Saccharomyces cerevisiae S288C: one gene and its partner. The gene in region 1 interacts genetically with each later gene. Each region holds a gene or a part of one and is shown on either strand. Other genes may lie near its edges.

What was found.
Region 2: mutations in PDR1 (region 1) and RRD1 together harm fitness more than expected from each alone (negative genetic interaction), as found in Saccharomyces cerevisiae (2 studies listed by BioGRID).

Annotation. Positions count from the first base shown.
Region 1 is NC_001139.9:468,149-473,872, reverse strand, and holds PDR1 (drug-responsive transcription factor PDR1), read left to right. Parts: upstream 1-1,574; coding exon 1,575-4,781; downstream 4,782-5,724. Other genes in the region: ERG4 (delta(24(24(1)))-sterol reductase), read right to left, coding at 1-1,018; PUF4 (Puf4p), read right to left, coding at 5,066-5,724. UniProt on the Saccharomyces cerevisiae protein: Positive regulator of proteins involved in permeability. PDR1 and PDR3 jointly control the transcription level of both SNQ2 and PDR5.
Region 2 is NC_001141.2:53,600-57,243, forward strand, and holds RRD1 (peptidylprolyl isomerase RRD1), read left to right. Parts: upstream 1-1,598; coding exon 1,599-2,780; downstream 2,781-3,644. Other genes in the region: GUT2 (glycerol-3-phosphate dehydrogenase), read right to left, coding at 1-109; IMP21 (Imp21p), read right to left, coding at 382-1,422; VPR1 (Vpr1p), read left to right, coding at 2,946-3,644. UniProt on the Saccharomyces cerevisiae protein: PPIases accelerate the folding of proteins. It catalyzes the cis-trans isomerization of proline imidic peptide bonds in oligopeptides.

The DNA.
Region 1 (5,724 bases):
ATAGAACAACGTACAGCGAAACATTGTACAGTGTAGACCAGTGATATTCAGATGGGTCATGGTAGTACAAATACAACGTACAATGACAGTAAGTGTATGGGACACCGGCAATATTCCAGAAGATCAGCATAAATCCAAACTTTTCGTAAGCCATGTCCCAGGTTGGAACAATCAATTCTTCACCTTTAGCACATGCGTTCGCGTACAACCAATGAGCTAACATGACAACCCCCAATTGTGGTGTCACATAGCCGTAAGTCTCCCACTGCTTCAAACAGGCACCCAAAGTGATAAAGTAAAGGGTGAACCAAGGTAATCTAACCTCGAAAAACATCTTCAAGTCCAAAATCCCCCACCTAGGGTTTAGTGGAGCTCCCATGAAGAAATCATATAGATGGTTTCCTGTCATTCTATGATAGTCATGTGAGATAAATAAAGTCCATAAGTACAATATGATGGAGAAGGCAAACCCTGAAATAATGGCACATGTCATGATCCTCCCAAAACGGTCAATAATGACATACAATCTAAAAAGATTGGTAAAGTGCAAAACCAAGACCAAAGTGGTAGTTACATACAAGGTCCACATGGCATTACAAAAGTAAGGCAATTGTTTTCCCTTCAAATGAGACAATGGTTGACCTTTTGTCCAAATCCCGGGCAACGTATAGTAGAAAATGATCTGAAACACCCAAAATGTTAAGAAAATAGTCCAGTCATACTTTTCTGGGATACCGTTCTCCAAGACTAACTGGTATAGGTGCTTGATAAAGTGCATCCACGATTCACCAGCCTTGGGTAGGGCAACCTTACCGTGATAAAATTCCGCACAAATCCACATATAGTACATTAGCAGTGGAAACCCGATCAGCATACCAATAACACCAGTAGTCCCACCAAACTCATATTCGATTTCATTTGGCTTCAGCCATTTACCCTGAGGCAGGAAATTAACCGGTTGCTTGGACTTTTTCTCCTCTCCCTGCACCTGCAGCTTCTCACTATTATCCTTTGCCATAGCGATGCTAATCTATGTACACTACGTAAATATCCGTATCTGCCTATCTACATAACTGAACTACATTCCTACGTTATTACCACTGTTTGGTAATTTTTCCTCGAGGATATATAATTCTGCTTTTCCATAGTAACGCCAAACGATCGCGTAATACCGGCAATTACGGGATGCACGAAAATAGCGCCAAGGAACGAAAAAGAAATGAGTCTCGTTTAGTTATTAAACGAGAAGAAACGAGCCCTGATTTACATTCTCAGGGTCCAATAGGGCTTTGTTGGAAACAGACGCATACCCTAAATGGAGTTTCTTTTCTTGTTCAAGACCTAATGAGTGGCAATAAGAGGCGCTAATTAAAGCTCTTCAAAACAACCTTATTCGCCTATTACACATGATCAGCCACTCTTTCATTGTCAACAATAGCATGATAGCAGGACCATAGCGGCCATATAGACATTACCAGGAGTGAGTTTTGGCTAAAAAAAGACAATTTGCACATCACTTGCTAACTATTCATCTCAGCCAAGAATATACAGAAAAGAATCCAAGAAACTGGAAGATGCGAGGCTTGACACCTAAGAACGGTGTACATATTGAGACGGGTCCGGATACAGAATCGTCCGCGGACTCCAGCAACTTTTCTACAGGTTTCAGCGGCAAGATTCGTAAGCCAAGGTCGAAAGTAAGTAAAGCGTGCGATAACTGTAGAAAAAGAAAGATAAAATGTAATGGGAAGTTTCCCTGCGCAAGCTGTGAGATATATTCATGTGAGTGCACGTTCAGCACTAGACAAGGTGGCGCTCGAATAAAAAACCTTCACAAGACGAGTTTGGAAGGTACAACCGTACAAGTCAAAGAGGAAACAGATTCCAGTTCGACTTCTTTTTCTAATCCTCAGCGATGTACAGACGGGCCATGCGCAGTGGAACAACCAACGAAATTTTTTGAGAATTTCAAGCTAGGTGGTCGTAGTAGTGGTGATAATAGCGGAAGTGATGGGAAGAATGACGACGATGTGAATAGAAACGGTTTTTATGAAGACGATAGCGAATCACAGGCAACTTTGACATCTCTACAAACCACTCTGAAAAATTTGAAGGAGATGGCTCATTTAGGTACACATGTAACCTCAGCCATCGAGAGCATTGAACTTCAGATAAGTGACTTGCTTAAGCGATGGGAACCCAAAGTGAGGACCAAAGAATTAGCAACAACGAAATTTTACCCTAATAAATCAATAGAAACTCAATTGATGAAAAACAAATACTGTGATGTGGTACATTTGACAAGATATGCCGCTTGGTCAAACAATAAGAAGGACCAAGATACTTCTAGTCAACCTTTGATCGACGAAATCTTTGGTTTGTACTCTCCTTTCCAATTTTTGTCACTTCAAGGTATTGGTAAATGTTTCCAAAATTATAGATCCAAATCCAAATGCGAGATTTTTCCCAGGACCGCCAAGGAAACCATATACATCATGTTAAGGTTTTTCGACGTTTGTTTTCATCACATCAACCAAGGCTGTGTCTCCATAGCTAATCCCCTGGAAAACTACCTACAGAAAATGAATCTTTTACCTTCAACCCCATCTTCGATATCATCTGCAGGGAGCCCGAATACAGCACACACAAAATCGCATGTTGCGTTAGTGATAAATCACTTACCGCAGCCCTTTGTGAGAAATATAACCGGAATAAGTAATTCTGAGCTACTAAGCGAAATGAATAATGATATCAGCATGTTTGGCATTTTATTGAAGATGTTGGATATGCATAAAAATTCCTACCAGAACTTCCTAATGGAAATCACATCTAACCCCTCCGTGGCTAAAAACACGCAGTCAATTGATGTCTTGCAGGAATTCATCCATTATTGTCAAGCTGGAGAGGCGCTAATCGCCTTATGTTACAGCTATTATAATTCTACATTATACAACTACGTGGACTTCACATGCGACATAACGCATTTAGAGCAACTTCTATACTTTTTGGATCTGCTATTTTGGCTATCGGAAATATACGGTTTTGAAAAAGTCTTGAACGTAGCAGTTCATTTTGTTTCAAGAGTTGGTTTATCAAGGTGGGAATTTTACGTGGGTCTTGATGAAAACTTTGCTGAAAGAAGAAGAAATCTCTGGTGGAAAGCTTTCTATTTCGAGAAAACTTTAGCCTCTAAACTTGGCTATCCTTCGAACATTGATGACTCCAAAATCAATTGTTTATTACCTAAGAATTTTCGAGATGTTGGGTTCTTGGATAATAGAGATTTTATCGAGAACGTCCACTTAGTTCGCAGGAGCGAAGCTTTTGACAACATGTGCATATCCGACTTAAAATACTATGGCGAATTAGCTGTCTTACAAATAGTCAGCCATTTCTCATCATCTGTTTTATTCAATGAAAAATTCACGTCAATTAGGAATACATCAAAACCATCTGTTGTTAGAGAGAAACTACTCTTCGAGGTACTCGAGATTTTTAACGAAACAGAAATGAAATATGATGCTATCAAAGAGCAAACTGGAAAATTGTTCGATATTGCATTCTCTAAAGATAGTACTGAACTCAAAGTTTCAAGAGAGGATAAGATTATGGCTTCAAAATTTGTTCTATTTTACGAGCACCATTTCTGCAGAATGGTTAACGAATCTGATAATATTGTCGCCAGATTATGCGTGCACAGAAGGCCCTCAATACTAATTGAAAACTTGAAAATATACCTTCACAAGATTTACAAATCATGGACCGATATGAACAAAATCTTATTAGACTTTGACAACGATTATTCCGTATACCGTTCGTTCGCCCATTATTCTATCAGTTGCATTATTTTGGTATCACAAGCATTCTCAGTGGCCGAATTCATTAAAGTAAATGACGTTGTGAATATGATTAGAGTCTTCAAAAGATTTTTGGATATAAAAATTTTTTCCGAAAATGAGACCAATGAGCATGTCTTCAACAGCCAAAGCTTTAAAGACTATACAAGAGCTTTTTCTTTCCTGACAATCGTCACTCGTATCATGCTTTTGGCATACGGAGAGTCCTCTAGCACCAACCTCGATGTTATCTCCAAATATATTGATGAGAATGCGCCAGATTTAAAAGGTATAATAGAACTTGTCTTGGATACAAACTCTTGCGCTTATCGATTTTTATTAGAACCTGTTCAGAAGTCAGGATTCCATTTAACGGTCTCACAAATGTTGAAAAATAGAAAGTTTCAGGAACCACTAATGTCAAATGAAGATAATAAGCAGATGAAGCATAATTCGGGAAAAAATTTGAATCCGGATCTCCCAAGTCTTAAGACGGGCACTTCATGCTTACTAAATGGCATTGAATCGCCTCAATTGCCATTCAATGGTCGCTCAGCACCTTCCCCAGTGAGAAACAACTCACTACCGGAGTTTGCACAATTGCCTTCATTTAGGTCATTATCCGTGTCTGATATGATCAATCCCGATTACGCGCAACCAACAAATGGGCAAAATAATACGCAAGTCCAATCTAATAAACCAATCAATGCTCAGCAGCAAATACCCACTTCAGTACAAGTACCATTTATGAACACAAATGAAATCAATAACAACAACAACAACAACAACAACAATAAAAACAATATTAACAATATTAACAACAACAACAGTAACAATTTTTCTGCAACTAGTTTTAATTTGGGGACACTAGATGAATTTGTTAATAACGGTGATCTTGAGGACCTCTACAGTATCCTGTGGAGCGACGTTTATCCAGATAGTTAAACGTATACGTTTGTATAGATAAAAGTTCTCAAAAACTTCCTTCCTTTTTTTTTTCTTTTGAGTTTACTTATTTAAATAAGAACATTCTGTTTTCTAGGGCATCTCCTTCTCTTATTTCTTCAACACTATTTACCAGTATACCATAAAGTGAAAATTCCTATTTTTTTTGCTTTGGATATTCATTTGATCCTCAACGAAAAAAAAAATGATGTATTTTAGTATTGTACAAAAGATATTATATGAGGCTAACGTAAAAAAAGCTAAACTGAGGATATATGTATCAACTATGAATCTAAATGTAACATTCCGATGATTCTTTTACCATGAGGTGTATTTCTTATGGGGCCCACCAGTAAAGGCGCCACAATCTCTGATAGTCTTTTATAGAGATAGTCATTTTGCTTATGAGAAATGTCTAATGCTGTCTGTAAAACGTAATTTCCGTAGCTATCATTCAACAATGATTGAATACCCGTCTCGCCACCATTATTTAAAATTTCCAGAATCATTGGCTCCGAAACAATAGCTGTCTTCAAGATTTTTTCAATCACATTTGATCCAAATTTATGGATAGAAAGTTCGATGGCTCTTGGTTTCAACAGGTGGACAATTTTATGCGTATAATCATATTTGTTCTTCTCAGCCTCTTTGGTAATTATATATTGCACCACATAGTTGCCAAATGGATCCAAAGTTAATTTATCAACAAGGGCTAGCAACTTATCACACAGATTGTCACATTGTTCTGTAGTCCCATGATCTAGACAACGTTGCAAAACGCAACACCCGTGTCTATGAGTAGCAATATCAATACAGCTATCAGAGATTGCGTCAAAGATAAACTGGAAGTTTTCAGGCTTCAACCTTTGCAAACATTTTTGAATAACATGATTACCATTTAAATCCTTACTCAACTGGACAGTATAAGGGCGTAAAGAATCAA
Region 2 (3,644 bases), on another chromosome or scaffold:
TGTGCACTAACGGCCTATCACCTTGGCTAGTCATCCAGTACAGCGTCCCCGTGGCTGTGGCCATGGCAGCAGCTGCACCGGCAGCTCTTCTTCTCGTTACCGAAAACATATATTAGTACGTATTTAGTCTTGTAGCAGTGATGGCAATAGCACGGTCAAGATAAGGGAGGGAGAGTCCTTGCTTTAGACCAAAGTTCCCTATTTGTGGCTGTTCTCTTTTAAGTTTAAATACGATTTTTAGCGTGCGGGGTTGTGAAATTTCCCCTGCCAAAACTGAAATAAAGTTGGGTGGATAACGTATCGGAGCAGAGAAAAGACATAAGGTCTGTTGCTGTATATAAGTATGTGTTGCTAAAAAGGAATTAGTGCAGTGATTATTGGTCACTCGCTGATGCCCTTGCGCTTGGCACGTTTCAGCTTCTTTCTAACCGCGAGGATGGGCACAGAGCAGACGAAGTTCTGCAGAGTGGACAGGATGACCGAGAGGGAGCAGCACAGGGCGACTGGCTTGAGGCCGTGGATCATCTCGTTGAGGAGGTGTTTTGGGTACGGATGGGTCAAGGAGAGGACGACGACGTCGAGGTCGTCGAGCACGCCCGCGACGCAGTCAAACAGGTGCATGACGTGCTTTCTGATTCTGGCAACGTTGGCGAACATCTGGGAGTCGTCCGTGGGCTTCGAGGGCTCCCAGTGGACAATGTAGACGGTGTCTCCCTGGTTGACAGCTGCGCCCATGAGATAGGTCAGGGCGTAGGTGGACTCGCTGCTCAGGTCCGTGTAGAGGATGAAGGACCTTTGGTTCCCGGCCTCTGCGCCGGCACCCTTGGTGAGTAGTTGCATGGCTCTGACGTAGCCTCCGTCGAGTTGCTCCAGAGACACGTCTTCGTTTTCGTGGCCACGGATGCTGATCTCGTACTTGGCTATCCAGGGCTTGCTGGAGTCTAGCACTTCGTTTATGCTGGTACAAAAGTTGGGTAACACTTTCATGCCCAGATCGTAGTGGAACTCCTCGTCAATCTCTAAATCGTTCTCTATATCGCTCACTTGCTCTTCATCGGACTCTTCCTCGTCCATATCGTCGCCGTCGCCGTCGTCGTCATCTTCGTCGTTGCCCTCACCTTCCTCTTCAGAATCCACATCCACGACCCTCAACCGCATCGAGGGGTCCTGCCTCAACACGGTCCACTTGAGGAACTCTTCCTCCCTTACTCTGCTGCGGCTACTGGCCCTGCTTCTCGACCGCGACAGACTGCTCACGTTTGAGTCTCGTTCGCCTCTTTTCTTCTTGCTACGACCTCTTTCCCTGTGGCCCCTTTCCATCTGCTCCGAGTCGAACTCCACCGTGGTGGGCGTTTCCGTTTTGATGCTGTGTAGATTCGATTGTGTTCCGTCAGGTTTAGTCAGCAATATGCTCTTCTGCATTGCGTACTTGGTTGTTTCTCTTGTTGGTTCTTTTGGTACTCACCCTTTCCATAGTCTCTTGTGTTTGATCAAGCCTTTTTTCCGGACCTTTAAAGCTTTCTTAAAAAGATAAAATAGGAAGAAAGTGCAAAGTGCAAAAGAACGCACATATGAACAAGCATTAAACGAGCAAAGAAATGTCTCTGGATCGTGTAGATTGGCCGCACGCCACCTTCTCTACGCCGGTGAAGCGTATCTTCGATACGCAGACAACGCTGGACTTCCAATCGTCACTAGCCATTCACAGAATCAAGTATCATCTTCACAAGTACACTACGTTGATATCGCACTGTTCTGACCCCGACCCGCACGCTACTGCGTCGTCGATCGCCATGGTTAACGGGCTGATGGGAGTGTTGGACAAGCTGGCACACCTGATCGACGAGACACCGCCTCTTCCAGGTCCTAGAAGGTATGGTAACCTAGCATGCCGCGAGTGGCATCACAAGCTGGATGAACGTTTGCCTCAGTGGCTGCAGGAAATGCTTCCCTCGGAATACCATGAGGTGGTGCCTGAATTGCAGTATTACCTGGGCAACAGCTTTGGTTCGTCGACAAGATTGGACTACGGCACGGGCCACGAACTTTCGTTCATGGCCACGGTCGCAGCACTGGACATGCTGGGGATGTTTCCGCACATGAGGGGGGCAGACGTTTTTCTGCTGTTCAACAAGTACTACACGATCATGAGGAGGCTGATCCTGACGTATACGCTGGAGCCCGCTGGGTCACATGGCGTGTGGGGGCTTGATGACCATTTCCACTTGGTGTACATCTTGGGCTCGTCTCAATGGCAGCTGCTTGATGCGCAAGCACCCTTGCAACCAAGAGAAATACTGGATAAGTCTCTGGTGCGCGAGTATAAGGACACCAACTTCTACTGCCAAGGCATAAACTTTATTAATGAGGTGAAAATGGGGCCCTTTGAAGAGCATTCCCCCATCCTATACGATATTGCCGTCACCGTTCCACGCTGGTCCAAAGTGTGTAAGGGGCTTCTAAAAATGTATTCTGTAGAGGTTCTGAAGAAGTTCCCCGTGGTGCAACATTTCTGGTTCGGCACAGGCTTCTTTCCCTGGGTCAACATTCAAAACGGCACTGATCTTCCAGTCTTTGAAGAAAAGGAGGAAGAGAGTATAGAACAGGCTAACGCAGGATCGCCCGGTCGAGAACAGACTTCAACACGATTCCCAACGTCCACGTCAATGCCTCCCCCAGGCGTTCCGCCGTCAGGTAACAATATCAACTATTTACTAAGCCATCAAAACCAGTCGCACCGGAACCAGACTTCTTTTTCAAGAGATAGACTACGTAGATAATATTAATTAAACATATAAATGTGTATGACAAGCATTATGACTTCTATTTTCGTTCTTTTTTACTTGCGTCTACAATATATAAGCATATAATCAGATGAAAAAAGGAAAAGGAAGCGGTAATACAAATAAACAAAGAAGTGGAAAAAGTCGCCACAGTGTAAGCAAATGAGTCACAAGAGAAGGGGCCTGGTAATATATCAGGATCAGAAGCAGCAACAACAACACCCCCCGGGGCAGTCCCTAAGCTCTATATCCTGGTCTCCAACCAGGCGACCTCATCACCCTTTAAAACAACAAAGCACCAACAGTTTCTCAGAAATACTATCGAAATCAAGTGTGCAACCGAACGTGCAACATGACGGTAATCATATGCCCATTTCATTGCTAGTTCTGAAACAAGAACATCATAAGCAGCAGCAGCAGCAGCAGCAGCGCCAGAATATCCGATCACAAAACTCTACGCCTCCCCTGCGACAGTTGGTTCAGGAGTCGCAGTGGACGAGCTCCGCAAGTAATAGTTCTCTAAAGAAACAGGAAAAGCAGCCGCAAACATTCTACAACACTGACTCTAAACTTGTTTCTCAACTGCATAGCTCCGTGAAGGACCTGGATGCCATAATCCAGACGCATAAACCAAAGTTTGACACAATTATTCGCGATTTCTCTCAAGCAACCATACTGTCCTCAAACGAGTTACTCATCAAACTTCCGAAGGACCAAACAATAATATTGCATAGCAGAGCGCCAAAAATTAACGCAGAATGGCTACAGAACAAGGTTAATGACCCTAGTGCCTCGTTAGTGATCGATTCAAGATCTTTTCTAACCTTGTGTAACAATATAAAATGGTACCTGCATTGGAAA